Linked DNA regions of Canis lupus familiaris. The main gene of each other region encodes a partner of the protein of the gene in region 3 in a complex. Links are inferred from orthologs where the notes say so. Each region holds a gene or a part of one and is shown on either strand. Other genes may lie near its edges.

Region 1 (4,001 bases), on a different chromosome or scaffold from region 3:
CCAGCTGGGACTGAATTCATGCTCAGGTATGATGCTCTTTGTGGATGGAGATGACAGCTGCCTGTGCTGGTTTTCTAGGCCATGTGGGTCACTGCAGCCACATCTGCAGGCAGGAAACAAACCAGAGAGCACCGTCCTCCAATGTGAACTGTCACATATCACTTTTACCCCCTTGATTCTCTGAATATATGAACAGGGAAGTAAAAAGCAATGGCATCCACTTGAAAGTAAAGGAGAAAATGTACTTCACCCCCTTGCACATCTACCTTGTGCTAGGCCAAGCAAGTTATTTAATAATAATTATGGTAATAATAATAACTCCCAGTCTTGGAGAACTATGTTGTGAGTCCTGGTAAGCACTTTGCATACTTTAATGCTTAACTTGAATTTCCTTATCTGTAAACTGAAGATAATAATACACATATCTTATTACTATGAGGATTAAAGGAGAATAGATGGAAAAAGTACTTTGCAAGTTGAAGCAGCAAGGTCAAAAGGGAGAGGATTTGAAAGAAACCAGTTAAAATCCCAACTCGATCTGATCTCACTGAGCTTCAGTTCCTCATCACCCAAGTGGAGAGGAAACCACCCACCCCAGTGAAGAATTGAGGGAGACAGTAAATTAAATAGCAGCTGGTGTGCATCACTAGAAAGTGTTTAATAAATGTTCATATTCTCTCTTCTGTTATACATGTGACCTGCTTCCATTAACCTCCATCAGCAAGCAGCCGTCCAATGTCCCTGTTATCCAAAGATGCATTTCCCTTTCATAGTAATGATGATTTTATCAGTCTAACGTGCCAGACACTGGCTCAACAGCTTTACAGCTATGAACTCACTTAATCCTCATCATAATCCCGTGAGGTACGTACTACTGTCATCCCCCATTTTATAGATGAAGACACTGAGGCAGGAGTTTAGCTAATTTGCCCAGATTAAAAACAGATGGTAAGCAAGTCAGGCGCTGAGCTGTCTGTCTACCCTCCTAACCATAAGGCAACAGTGCTGATGGGGGTGAGTCTGTTCGACATTCCATGCTTGGATCTATTCTCTTCTAGACATAAGCAATGGACGCTCTCACAAACCACAATGTGTTGACTAACTTTTCAGCCTCTGGAATAACATTTTAATATTTTTCTAGAATTCTTCAAAAACCTATGATTTGTTTTTAAATGCAGGGCCTATAACTAGCTCATCTTGTTCTATGTGTTGGAATGCCATAAATAAAAGCACTTCTCTTTCTCAAGATTGCCTAGATAAATCTTACATTAAGACACATCCCTGAGTTTGGTTTAAACATTTATTATAAATCCAAATTTAAACAAATATATATGTATATATACCTTCACACACATATAGGATGTGTGTTTAATGCTGTTAAACATTAACAGCTTAATGCTGTTTCATTAAACTAATGACTCTGATAGCAAATAACCTGAAAATTCTCATTTCGAATCTTCAGTCTTAAGTCATAGCAATACCATATTTATTTCAAAGTGTTCTTTTTACGAATTTAATTGACTCAAATATTAAATAAACATCAATGATGATAATGTATTGCTCTACTTAATGGGAATCTCTAGGGGACAGATGAAAAAGAAAGGTTCTAGAATTCTATCCTTCAAAGCAGGACAGGACAGCTACCCATAAATCATACTCTTTTTTTATTAAGATAATTAAGCCCACCAGTAGTACACTTAACTTTCAGACTCAACAAATGTCTGGGATGAACAATTCCCACTTTTTCTAAAACAAAGAGGATGTGTTCAAAAAGGGTCCTCTGCAAGCTCTCTGCACAATGCACGCTATTTTAAAACATGATTTATGTGTCTAATTCCTGGAGCTGCCTTGAAAAATATACTGGGTTCTTCCTCGCATGCTACCTACTAGGAGAAGACACTCCAATTTGAAGAGTGCCCTCTGTTTCAGACTACAAGAACGCTATATCATGTCAGCATTTTCATTAAATACTGTTCAAGCTGGACCTTAAACAAATGGAAGGGAGAGCCACAGCTGCAGCCACTGCAGAGACGGTTATCCCGCCGGGAGGCTTATATAAGAGGCGCAGGGCCGGCAGGGTGAAACCCAAGTGTCATCATCCAAATCCTATTTCTTTGAGACTTGCCCACATTCTTGAAATGTACGAAATCACAGACGATGGACGGATTTCTCATTTTATTTGCCTGATGGCACAAAACGCCGTGTTGACTTAACAACTTGTTTTCTCCCTAAACGCCTGGGCTCCAATGAGGGAGACGCTGGCAACTTCTGCCTACGGGAAGAGCGGAGTGGGATGCGCGCGAAGCCCCAAGGACTGGCTGGCTGCCGTCCCCAAAGACCCATCGCGTCCAGGGGTCACTCCCCCGAGGGCTCAGGAGAGAGGTAACGCGACCCCGCACGCTCCCTCCACCGCCAAACGCGGTCCAGGAGCTCGGAACGTGCAGTCAGCGGCAGGCGAAGCGCCCTGGGAGCACCTGTCCTCCCGCAGCACGTTTCCAACCCGCACACTCGTCCTCTCCCCGCGCGCCGGGTCCGCTTCTCCGCACCCCGACCTCCCCGAGCCCGAGCGCGGCCCCTAACACACGGGGGCCACCCCCAGCTTCATGCAAAAACGATCATGCCAACGCACCTCCCCTCCGCACGGCTCCCTGCAACTTCAGAAACTACAGTCAACTTACCGGGACGCGGAGACCGGGAGCCCTCCGGGGTGGGGCGGGGGGACCGCGCTCGGCTGCGCGCAACCCCGCTGGCCCCGCACCGCCCGGGCGGCTGCACGGCTGCTCGGCTGCTCGGCTGCACGGCTGCTCGGCTGCACGGCTGCACGGCTGCACGGCTGCTCGGCTGCTCGGCTGCACGGCTGCTCGGCTGCACGGCTGCTCGGCTGCTCGGCTGCACGGCTGCTCGGCTGCACGGCTGCTTGGCTGCTCGGCTGCTCGGCTGCACGGCTAGGCGCCGCCGCTCTGCACCAGCCGCCTCGCTCCGCCGCGCCCGGGGCCGGGGGCACTGGCCAGGGCGCGGCGGCTGCGGCGGCACCGGCCGCGCGGACCCGGAGCTGCAGAGCTGCAGGCGCCGCCGACCCCGGAGCGCGGCGCTCCGAGCCCCCGGCGCGTGTCTCCGGCTCCGAGCGAACGGCCGCTCGGCGAGGACCGCGGCACCGGGAGAGCCGAGGCGCCGTGCCCCGCAGAGCCTCCGGGGGGCTCCCGGGCGGCCGGTCACATCGCGCGCGCAGCACCGCAGTCCGCACTCGCCGCCGCGCCGCGGAGAATGACAGGCGCCGAGGCGGAGCAGCCGTGCGGGGCGCGGGGCGCCAGTGCGCATGATCCCGGCCGGCTGCGGCACGTCACGGGGGAGGGGGAGGGCGGGGAGGGAGGGGAGGGAGGGGAGGGCGGGAGGGAGGGAGGGGAGGGCGGGGAGGGGGCGCGCTGGGCGGGGCCGGGGCGGGGGCGGGGGGGGGCCTGGCGCCGCGCCCCGCTCCGCTCCCTAGCGGGGAGGCGCAGGAAGTCTCCGCCTCGGGGTTCTGCGAGCCCTGGAGCCGCGAGGTTGAACTTGTCTGCAGAGTCCATTGTCCTTGACCCCCCACCCCGCCCCGTGTGCTCTCAGGGGTCCCCAGGGCGCTGGGCAAGCCCCGAAGAGCCACGTTAGCTCAGGTATAGCTTAATCGTGAGGGCCTGCCACTGAGGGGACAGGGGTCCTCCCCACCTGGCTGTACATTACAGAATGACTTGGGAAGCTGGTGGGAGCCCTTTGCCCTGACCGCACCCCTGGAGTCCAGACTTAAGTACCGGAGAATCCCTGGGTGAGGCTCGGGTATCAGTAAGGTTGTAAAGCTTTCCAGATGATACCGGGGTACAAACAGCAGAGGTTTTTCAAAGCTGTAGCGTTTGTCAGAATCTTCTGAGCATTTTGAAAGAATGCAGATTTCTGACTCACTAGGCCTAGGCGTTAAGGGAAGATCCTTCATTCCTAACACGATCCCAGTTGATGCCAGTGCTGTGCTCTAG
Region 2 (4,147 bases), on a different chromosome or scaffold from region 3:
ACACAGATGGTCTACCTGGAACCAGAGGTGATTTTCTAGAATTCCCACAAAGTCTCTACCATTTAGGCTAACAGTGGCCTTGTGTCACAGAATCAGTCCTCCAACCTCAAAAATCAAATCTTGGGAGAATAGATGAAAGGGCTTAAGGAGGGGTAGGGAACAGGACCAGATGGAAAGCCCTTCAAGTTAACAGCAGTATTGATCTTGTCCCGGCAAGCAATCTAGCCCTGTTCACCACTACCCAACTCCCCCAAAATGAATGTCTCCGATATCTCAGCTGAACCGTTAGGTGGGACTGAGGGCAAGACTCTGTTTTTCCACTGGAGGACGTGAGTCAATGAACAGTGAGGTTCCACTTAATCACCATCCAAAAACAAGGTCCTTGAAACCAAGAGCTAGGAAAGCAAGGAAGTGATTAATACAAAAGTCAGGATAGTGATTATTCCTTGGGCAGAGCAGATCAGGACATGATGGGGGTGGGGGATGGGAGTGGGGTGCAAGGTCGGCCAGAGAAGTGATATACAGAGGTCTTCCTAAGTCCAAGAATGTTCTGGTCCGTGACCTTGATGGTGGTGGCTTTATAATTATACTTACACATGTTGTATGTAGCTTTATAACTATGTATTATATTTCACAGTTTTAAACAGCTGAAAAAAAGAACTATACAATGTTTTTAAGCAGGGGGAAATGGCCAGGTCTGTGGTTATTAGATCAGTTGGGTACTGAATGGAAAATTGATTGAAGGTGGGACAAGTCTAGAGGCAGAGAAAACAGGAGGTTAGGTGACTTCCATAATTTGGTGGGAGTTTATAATGACTGAGGTAAGAAAAGGTACAATATTGGGGATGTAGTCTATATTATTTTTAAAAACACAACTGGAATAAGACAGAGGCTGGCCCTACCTCCTCAGGTCACTTTTTACCTCTATGTGTTGGGTGAATTTGGCTCTGGAGTATAGCCCAGGGGGAGGCACATATCTAAACAGACACGTAGGTCAGGACTTCTCCTTGCTTCCCTCCCTGGTAGGTCTACTCAGAGGGACTCACTGCCTGGCCAGTGGCGATGAGAGTACATTTTTCACGATGCCCCAATATTACCCAAGTTGAGTTGACATAGGGGCTTCTCTCACAACATATAATCACTCAGTCATAATATCTAATCACTCAAGACTTTACTGAGTGCTTTCATATCTACTATCGGGTGCCAGAATATTAGGTCCATGAGCACAGAAGTTTGGTCTTGTTCATGGCTGTATCTTCAGTGCCTAGAACCAAACTTGGTATACAGTAGATGCTCAATAAATATTACTGAATGAATGAACACTTTTAATTATTATTGATATTTAATCATCACAACAACCTGTGAAGACAGGTAGGACATGGATTATCATCCTCATTTTGGAAGTTAGAAAACAAAGACATGGGGAAATTAAGGAACATGTCAAAGAAAGAGAATCATGATTTGATTTCAGATTTTCTGCTTCAACTCTCTTGTTTTTCCTACTTATTCACAGCTGAAGACCGAAGGCTTCGAGTTCTTATAGCCCCGAAACACCAGCTGGAGGTATTCCAAAATACATAGTAGGCACTATCAGATAGCCTATGTCCTCTGATATGCTAGGTTATAGGACAAATGAGGCCTACCCAGCTGCTGACACATCAGTCACCACAGTCTCCTCAGAAGAGAAGCAGTGTTTTCCTGGATGGTCAGATCTAGTTGGCCCTAGGCTACCTGGCACTTATATTTGTCTCCATACCCCTCACTTGTGTCTACTCCCCCATCCCTGTTATTCCACCCCTCCAAGCAAAAGAAGCTTAAGGAAACCCTGTTAGTACAAAAACACATGTGCTCATTTTTCTTCTCAGAAGAAAAATAAAAGAAGAAATAAAGAAATATGACAGGAGGTAGTTTCAGTGCTCCTCAAGAACCTTTGTCATCCAAATGGGATTCCATGGGGAGGCTAAAACATCATGTTCCATGAAAAGTTAATCTTGGTTTCTTTCCTCTTAATATTAATTAAAAGTAGTCATTTGAGAGCAGCCTGGGTGGTTTAGCAGTTTAGTGCCTGCCTTCAGGCCAGGGTGTGATCCTGGAGACCTGGGACTGAGTCCCGCATTAGGCTCCCTGCATGGAGCCTGCTTCTCCCTCTGCCTGTGTCTCTGCCTCTCTCTCTCTGTCTCTCATGGATAAATAAATAAAATCTTTAAAAATAAAATAAAATAAAAGTAGTCATTTGAAGCATCAACCACAACTCAATTCAGGTACCTGGGAACTCCAGATGGTCAATTAATATGAGTACTTATACACCTGGAATTGTGTAAGCCTTCCACAGGAATCCTGGCCAAACTCCTGAGAACTAGCAACCAACATTTGAAATAGTTTTTTCAAGAGAAAAACACACAAGCCACTGAGAAAAGTCGAGCTTCTGGTTTTGCCTCTCTCCCTTCTTCCCCTGCAAGGTCTGACATTCACTTTTTATCCCAAGAGCAATTTGGTCTAGGACAGTTGGACCATCCTCATCAATTAAGCAGTCTGTGTAACTACCTTGAGAGTGTCACACATAGGACTCACCAGAAATTCATCAGCAAACTCCTCTTTGCTAGATTTCTTGTTTTGGGCCTCATCCAGGAACTTGTGCAGAATTTCCCTTTGGTCCATGCTGCAGGCCAAGAGAAGCTGTCTACCAGCGGGTTAAGGGAGGGCATGTCAAATGTATGTCATGGCCGAGATACCACCAAGAAGCCACTGCTGCTGCCAGAGCAGAGCATGTTGAAGGCTGTGGTTAACTGACTTCGTCACAAGCCCTAGAGGAAATTAGTACGCAACCAGCCTCTGTGGTCACACAACAAAGCCACCATCACTCCAGGGCCCTAGTGCCTCCCTTCTCAAGGAAGGAACCTGGTTTACAGTTCAAGTTTTAACAAACAAGAGGCTAACCAGAACATAACACATGGTCTGCTTAGCTCTGAGACTCTTCCACTTCATCATCTTTAAGCAAGATTCACCTTTTTTTTTCTTGTTTCCTAGAGAAAAGGCAGAAGGCCAGTTCTCATGGCTGGGGTCTGCTTCTCCCCAGTTCCTCCACGAACACAGAGGTCCTGCTAATACTTTCTGTTTCTTCAGGTCCCAGATGAACTCAGAAAAATTAGTGTCAGAAAGGGAGATAGGCACTGTATGGAGTTAAGACATCTTCCACCTGTACCGTTCTCCCCAAAGTTCTTTGTCCACGTGATCAGTGGCAAATTTCTGTTCATCAGACAAGGCATTTTTATTCAGAAGTTTTAAGCCTGCCAGACAGACCTCAAATTCTCTTTTGGATGAAGCAAAGTCAGCTGCTTCTGACAGTCTGTATCTCTCCCCAGGGCTGGGGAAGTGCCGACCTGCTTAAGGGAAGTGTTGTTGATCTCAGGACTGTACAGGAGCCAGGAGAATAGTGTGACCCCGCCCCACGAAGAGCACCTGATGAGGAAGTTGGCCCAATATCCTCTGTATCCAATACTAGTTAACTATAAGGAACAGAAGAAAGAGTAAAATCGACTACCTTGCTGGCAACAGTAGCTTTCCAGGTCTAGAGAAGACATCTCTACTTTCCCAAAGAGTGCTTTGGAAAAGGCCATTGCTTCAGGAGGCCACACTGTACACATGGCATTTTGGCTTGTTTGACAGGCAGGCTGTTCTAGAAAAAAGCTTCCATATCTCAGCTTGAATAAATCCTCTCCTCAGCGAGTACAAACCTACCTAAGACTGTCTCATACAGAGTAAGTGCAAGCCAAAATCAGCATATCATCTCTGCTTGAGGACAGGAGTTCCATAAATGTTAGCAAAATTAGCCTGAAATAATACCAAAGGAAACCGGGAAATGTGCCATTAGAGCTTCCTCTATTTAAGATATTAGCAATCCTTTCTGTTTTGCATTATTCAAACTTCCTTTAGGAAATTATGATTCCAAACACTATGAAGCTGCATCCACTTTATTTTCCTCACAACAGGAAAGGAACAGTCTTTGAGGGATCCTGCTATAGGCAGGTGAGGCCAATAAAGAATTTCAATCCAGAGCCACATAATAAATTAAAATTAAGCATAATTCTTCAATAATATTTGTTGAGAATAGGATAGTATTTCCCCAGTTAGCCCCATCTGGCATTAA
Region 3 (4,293 bases):
GTCTCCCCTCCGTCACTGACCACCTCCCCAACACACACACACACAACCACACACACTGTCTGCTCCTGTCGCTCAGAGCAGACCACGTTCCTGCTCCTCATTGACTAGGACATGTCACGGCGGTGCTTGACCCAGCGCCGATCACGTGCCAACTACTGCACACTAAGCACTTTACATGACTTAACTCATTTCCTCACCACAAAAACCTTAAGAAATGGGTGCTCTTATTTCCCCCATTTTACCAAATGGGAAAAACCGTAGCACAGAGGGTTTAGGTAACTTTCCCAAGGTCCCACAGCTGCCGACCACAACCTCATTGCCTCCAGGCTGAAAATAAAGTCCAAGGAAGTCCCACAAGGTTCCTTGCTTGGATCTCTTGTCCCCGCAGCTTGCAGAGACCTGTCCTGAAGCCCCACTGCCAGCTGCAGCCCTACTGAGCTCTTTAGGCTTCCCGGAGCCCTCGAGGGTTCCCCCCATGCCCTACCCTTGTCCACGCGGTTCCCCCACCTGGGGTCCCAGTTCTATTAAGTCCTCCCATCCGCCGGCCCCTCTTTTCTGCCTTCCCGGACCTCGTCCCCCGGCTCTCGGTGTCTCTGCCCCGGGCTGCCGGCCCGTCCGTTATCCCGCCGAGGCCCGCGACGGGGAGGAGGGCCGGCCGCTCCCGGAGGCTGCACGGCAGGGCCAGGAGCCGGCGAATGAATGAGTGAGCGAACGGATGCCTGCTCGCGGCTGCCAGCGAGGCCCCGTGTCTGCGGCCGGGTCGGGGGAGGGCGGCCGAGGCCCGGCCTCAGTGGCTCCGGCGCGGGGCCCGAGCCGGGAGCCGGCGGGGTTGCCCCGGGAGGGCGCGGGGCGCGGCGGGGGCAGGGCAGGGCAGGGCAGGGCAGGGCAGGGCAGCGCAGCGCAGGGCGCGGACACACCCCCTGCAGTGCCCCCGGCGCCCGGCAGGGGGCGCCGCCCCGCCCCCGCCCCGCCGCCCCGGGCAGGCCCCTCGCGCAGGCGCGCTGCGGCGGGCGGAGGATCCGGGCCGCGCTTCCTCTCGCCAGGCCTGCGAGCTTCCTCCCGGCGGAGCCCCGGGCGAGCCCAGCGTGTCCGCCGCCGCCCCCCGCCCGCGCCCGCCCGCCCGGGGGCCCGCGGGGAGGGGTCCGAGCGGGGCGCCCCCGCCGTCGGGGCCGCGTCCCGGCCAGCCCGCGGCCGCCAGACCCCGCCCGGCCCTGCAGCGCGGGAGCCCGCCGCCCCGACCCCGGCCCCGGCCCCGGCCCCGGCCCCGGCTCCCCGCCCCGGCCCCGGCTCCCCGCCCCGGCCCGGCCGCCACGTCCCCGCCCCGGCCCGGCCCCGGCCCCGGCCCGGCCCGGCCGCGCTCGGAAGCGGAACTCTGCGGGGCCGCGCGGCTACATTGTTTCCTCCCGCCGCCCCCGCCCCCGCCCCCGCCCCCCCGGCCGCCGCCGCCGCCGCCGCCGCTTTGTACCGCGCCCCCGGGGACCCCGCGCCCTCCGCGCCCCGGCCGCGTGCGCCGCCCCGCAGCCCGCTGATGCTGCCCGCCGCGGGGTGGCCGGACCGCAGCGCCCCGAGAGGTGAGTGCGGGCGGGGTCTGGGGGAGGGGGCGGCCGGGGGCCGGGGCAGGTCGCGCCTCCCGCCCGCCCGGCCCGGGGCGCCGCGCTCGCGTCCCCCCGCCCTGACCCCCGCCTTCCCGGTTTGAATTCTCCCGGGAGCCGCTGTCAGCCCGACGGGGGGGGGGGGGGGCCGGAGGTGCTGCCCGGGAGCCCCACGGACCCCTGCCCTCCTGGCCCCGCCTGGCAGGGCCGGCTGGAGCCCCAGGGAGCCCCAGGGAGCCCCGAGGGGGTCGGCGGGAGCCCCCAGGCCCTGGACCTGCCCGGCCCTCCGCGCGGGCCCGGCCTGCCCCCTTCCGAACCCCCTCCCCGCCGGGGCCGAGGCTCAGGAGGCCCAGGGCCCGAGCACCTCCTTGATCTTGCAGGAGGTTCAGCCTGTCCCCCTCCCAGACGGCCAGGCCTCAGCCGAGAGACCTGTGACCCTTGGGTGGAGACACTGGGCAGATCCTCTGTGTGTGGGGATGTGACACCGGGCCCTGGGACGGTGCCCCCCCTCCCTGCAGCCCGGTCATCTCATTCTCCCAGACGCCTCGAGGCCCAGGCCCCGTGTCAGGAAGAGGCGTGTCCGGCCACCAGATCCTTGGTGGTTAACTTAGGGGTTCACCTCCCCTCGGCGTTTTGTGGACCAGGAAACTGAGGCTCAAAGTGGGAAGTTGCCACCCCAGGTCTCCGCCAGGGTCCGGCCGTCCTTCCAGGCTCCGCTCCGCGGAGCAGGACTGCTGTAGATGGAGGGAAGGCAGGCAGGTGCCTTCTCCCACCAAGGACCCAGGCCCCCAGCCTGACCCGGGGGACCTTGTGGGTGAGCACGTGCTTCCCTCCAGAGGGCTTCCGGCCCCAGCGCTGCCCGGCTCTGGGCTCAGGCCGTGTCGCACTGCCCACGGGATTTCCCCTTGGTGCCTGAGGTGGGTGCTGCTGACAGGGGATGTGGCGGGAGGGGGGCACCTTGTCTGGTGTGGCCACGGCACAGAGTGGAAACAGCCTGGCAGTCAGTCCCGACCCAGGCCTCCCACACACTGGGCCCAGCTGCCCCAGGAGCAGCCAAGTCCAGAACACGAATGGGGTCCAGACAGGGAAGGGGAGAGCCCCGCTTCCACAGCCGTGGTGGAGCAGCGTGGCCAGTGGGCACACACAGCGGGCCCGTTCCAAGCTCCCCACGCTTTGGTGGTTCCAGCATCTTTCTTGATGGGGCCCCAGCAGTAACGGGGCAGAGGCAGCACAAGGAAGGCTGGGAGGGTGGCAGGGTCCTCTTGCTCCCTGGAGGGTAGGAGGTTCCCTGGAGGCTGTTGAGCTCTGTCTGGGCCCCCGTGGGGCCGTTGGTAGTTTTGTCCTGCTCCAGACTCTGCCCGTGATGTAGTGTTTTTCCAGTTGCCCCGCCATGCACAGCGAAGGGGACCCAGAAGTGGTGGGCCTGTGAGGCGCCCCACACCCGGCCCTAACTTCCTTTCCGGCCTGAGGGCCTGGGACTGAGGCCTGAAGATCGGGCACTTTTATGCCAACTGTGAGCTATGTGGATGCGGCCCCAGGGTCCCCAGGCCTTGGCAGAAAAGGGTCTGGCGTCCGGCCAGCGCACGTGTGGAGATGTGTTTCTTATCTGGTGAGCTTGTTGCCTTCCCCCCTTGCAGAAGTGGCTGCTCTTCTTTCTGCGTCGGGTCAGGGGCAAGGAAGGACCACATGATAGTCTCCGGGGCTGCTACAGGGGGCACCAGGGCCCAAGAGGTTGAGCCACCGTGAGCAGACCGGGGTACAGGTGGGGCTAAGGCCCAGGGGTCACAGTGCATGATGCAGCCGCCCGAACAAGCTGCCAGCTGGCCTCATGGGGGAGAACGGCCTGGGTCCAGTTCTGGGCTCTATTTTTTGAGGCCTCTTGAAGCCCCGACACAGAGTTCCCAAAGAAAGAGTTTGGTCCAGGAAAGAGAAGGTAGGGAGGGACGGCTGGGTGGCTTAGTGGCTGGACGTCTACCTTCGGCTCAGGTGTGATCCCAGAGTCCCGGGATCGAGTCCCTCCCTGCAGGGAGCCTGCTTCTCTCTCTGCCTGTGTCTCTGCCTCTCTCTCTGTGTCTCTCATGAATAAATAAATATCTTTAAAAAAATAGAGAATGTAAGGAGGGCCCTGCAGGTGCCCAAGGGGCTGTTCCAAATCAGAAAGGCCGTCCCTCCGTGGAAGACGTCCCGGACGTCAGGGCCAGATCTGGGGGGGGCAGTCAGGTCCCAGGGGAAGCAAGTCTGAGCTCAGGAGAAAACTATGTGATGCTTTCTTTTTTTCCTTTTTTTTTTTTTTAAAGATTTTATTTATTAATGAGAGACACAGAGAGAGAGGCAGAGGGTGAAGCAGGCTCCATGCAGGGAGCCTGATGCGGGACTCGATCCCGGGTCTCCAGGATGGCACCCTGGGCCTAAGGCAGCACTAAACCGGTAGGGCCACCCGGGCTGCCCTATATGCTTGTTTGTTTGTTTCTTTCTTTCTTTCTTTTTTTTAAATTTTTTTTTAAATTTATTTATGATAGTCACAGAGAGAGAGAGAGAGGCAGAGACACAGGCAGAGGGAGAAGCAGGCTCCATGCACCGGGAGCCCGATGTGGGATTCGATCCCGGGTCTCCAGGATCGCGCCCTGGGCCAAAGGCAGGCGCCAAACCGCTGCGCCACCCAGGGATCCCCCTATCTGCTACTTTCTTAATGCAGAGAGTA

The links.
Region 1: the proteins of CSK (region 3) and PAG1 are in contact, whole or in part, in an NMR structure (PDB 2RSY), measured with the Rattus norvegicus proteins. The link is inferred for Canis lupus familiaris from reciprocal best matches to the Homo sapiens genes CSK and PAG1. Residues at the interface, in NP_001025210.1 of Rattus norvegicus: Thr88, Arg89, Glu93, Arg107, Ser109, Thr110, Asn111, Tyr112, Thr117, Cys122, Glu123, Lys125, Val126, Glu127, His128, Tyr129, Arg130, Ile140, Asp141, Tyr156, Asp161, Gly162; in NP_071589.1 of Rattus norvegicus: Phe291, Ser292, Leu294, Tyr296, Lys297, Ser298, Arg299, Glu300, Glu301, Leu305, Ile310, Met313, Tyr314, Ser315, Ser316, Val317, Asn318, Lys319.
Region 2: the proteins of CSK (region 3) and PTPN22 are in contact, whole or in part, in an NMR structure (PDB 1JEG), measured with the Mus musculus proteins. The link is inferred for Canis lupus familiaris from reciprocal best matches to the Homo sapiens genes CSK and PTPN22. Residues at the interface, in NP_001291690.1 of Mus musculus: Phe20, Thr23, Gln26, Ala40, Val41, Thr42, Lys43, Asp44, Asn46, Trp47, Ile59, Pro61, Asn63, Tyr64; in NP_033005.1 of Mus musculus: Pro614, Pro615, Leu616, Pro617, Glu618, Arg619, Thr620, Glu622, Ser623, Phe624, Ile625, Val626, Val627.

The regions. Positions count from the first base shown.
Region 1 is NC_049250.1:28,910,271-28,914,271, forward strand, and holds the start of PAG1 (phosphoprotein associated with glycosphingolipid-enriched microdomains 1), read right to left. Parts: upstream 2,801-4,001; 5' UTR 2,679-2,800; intron 1-2,678. UniProt on the Homo sapiens protein: Negatively regulates TCR (T-cell antigen receptor)-mediated signaling in T-cells and FCER1 (high affinity immunoglobulin epsilon receptor)-mediated signaling in mast cells.
Region 2 is NC_049238.1:52,206,518-52,210,664, forward strand, and holds the start of PTPN22 (tyrosine-protein phosphatase non-receptor type 22), read right to left. Parts: upstream 2,801-4,147; 5' UTR 2,659-2,800; coding exon 2,572-2,658; intron 1-2,571. UniProt on the Homo sapiens protein: Acts as a negative regulator of T-cell receptor (TCR) signaling by direct dephosphorylation of the Src family kinases LCK and FYN, ITAMs of the TCRz/CD3 complex, as well as ZAP70, VAV, VCP and other key signaling molecules.
Region 3 is NC_049251.1:38,289,626-38,293,918, forward strand, and holds the start of CSK (tyrosine-protein kinase CSK), read left to right. Parts: upstream 1-1,493; 5' UTR 1,494-1,571; intron 1,572-2,216; exon of another isoform or gene 2,217-2,509; intron 2,510-4,293. UniProt on the Homo sapiens protein: Non-receptor tyrosine-protein kinase that plays an important role in the regulation of cell growth, differentiation, migration and immune response.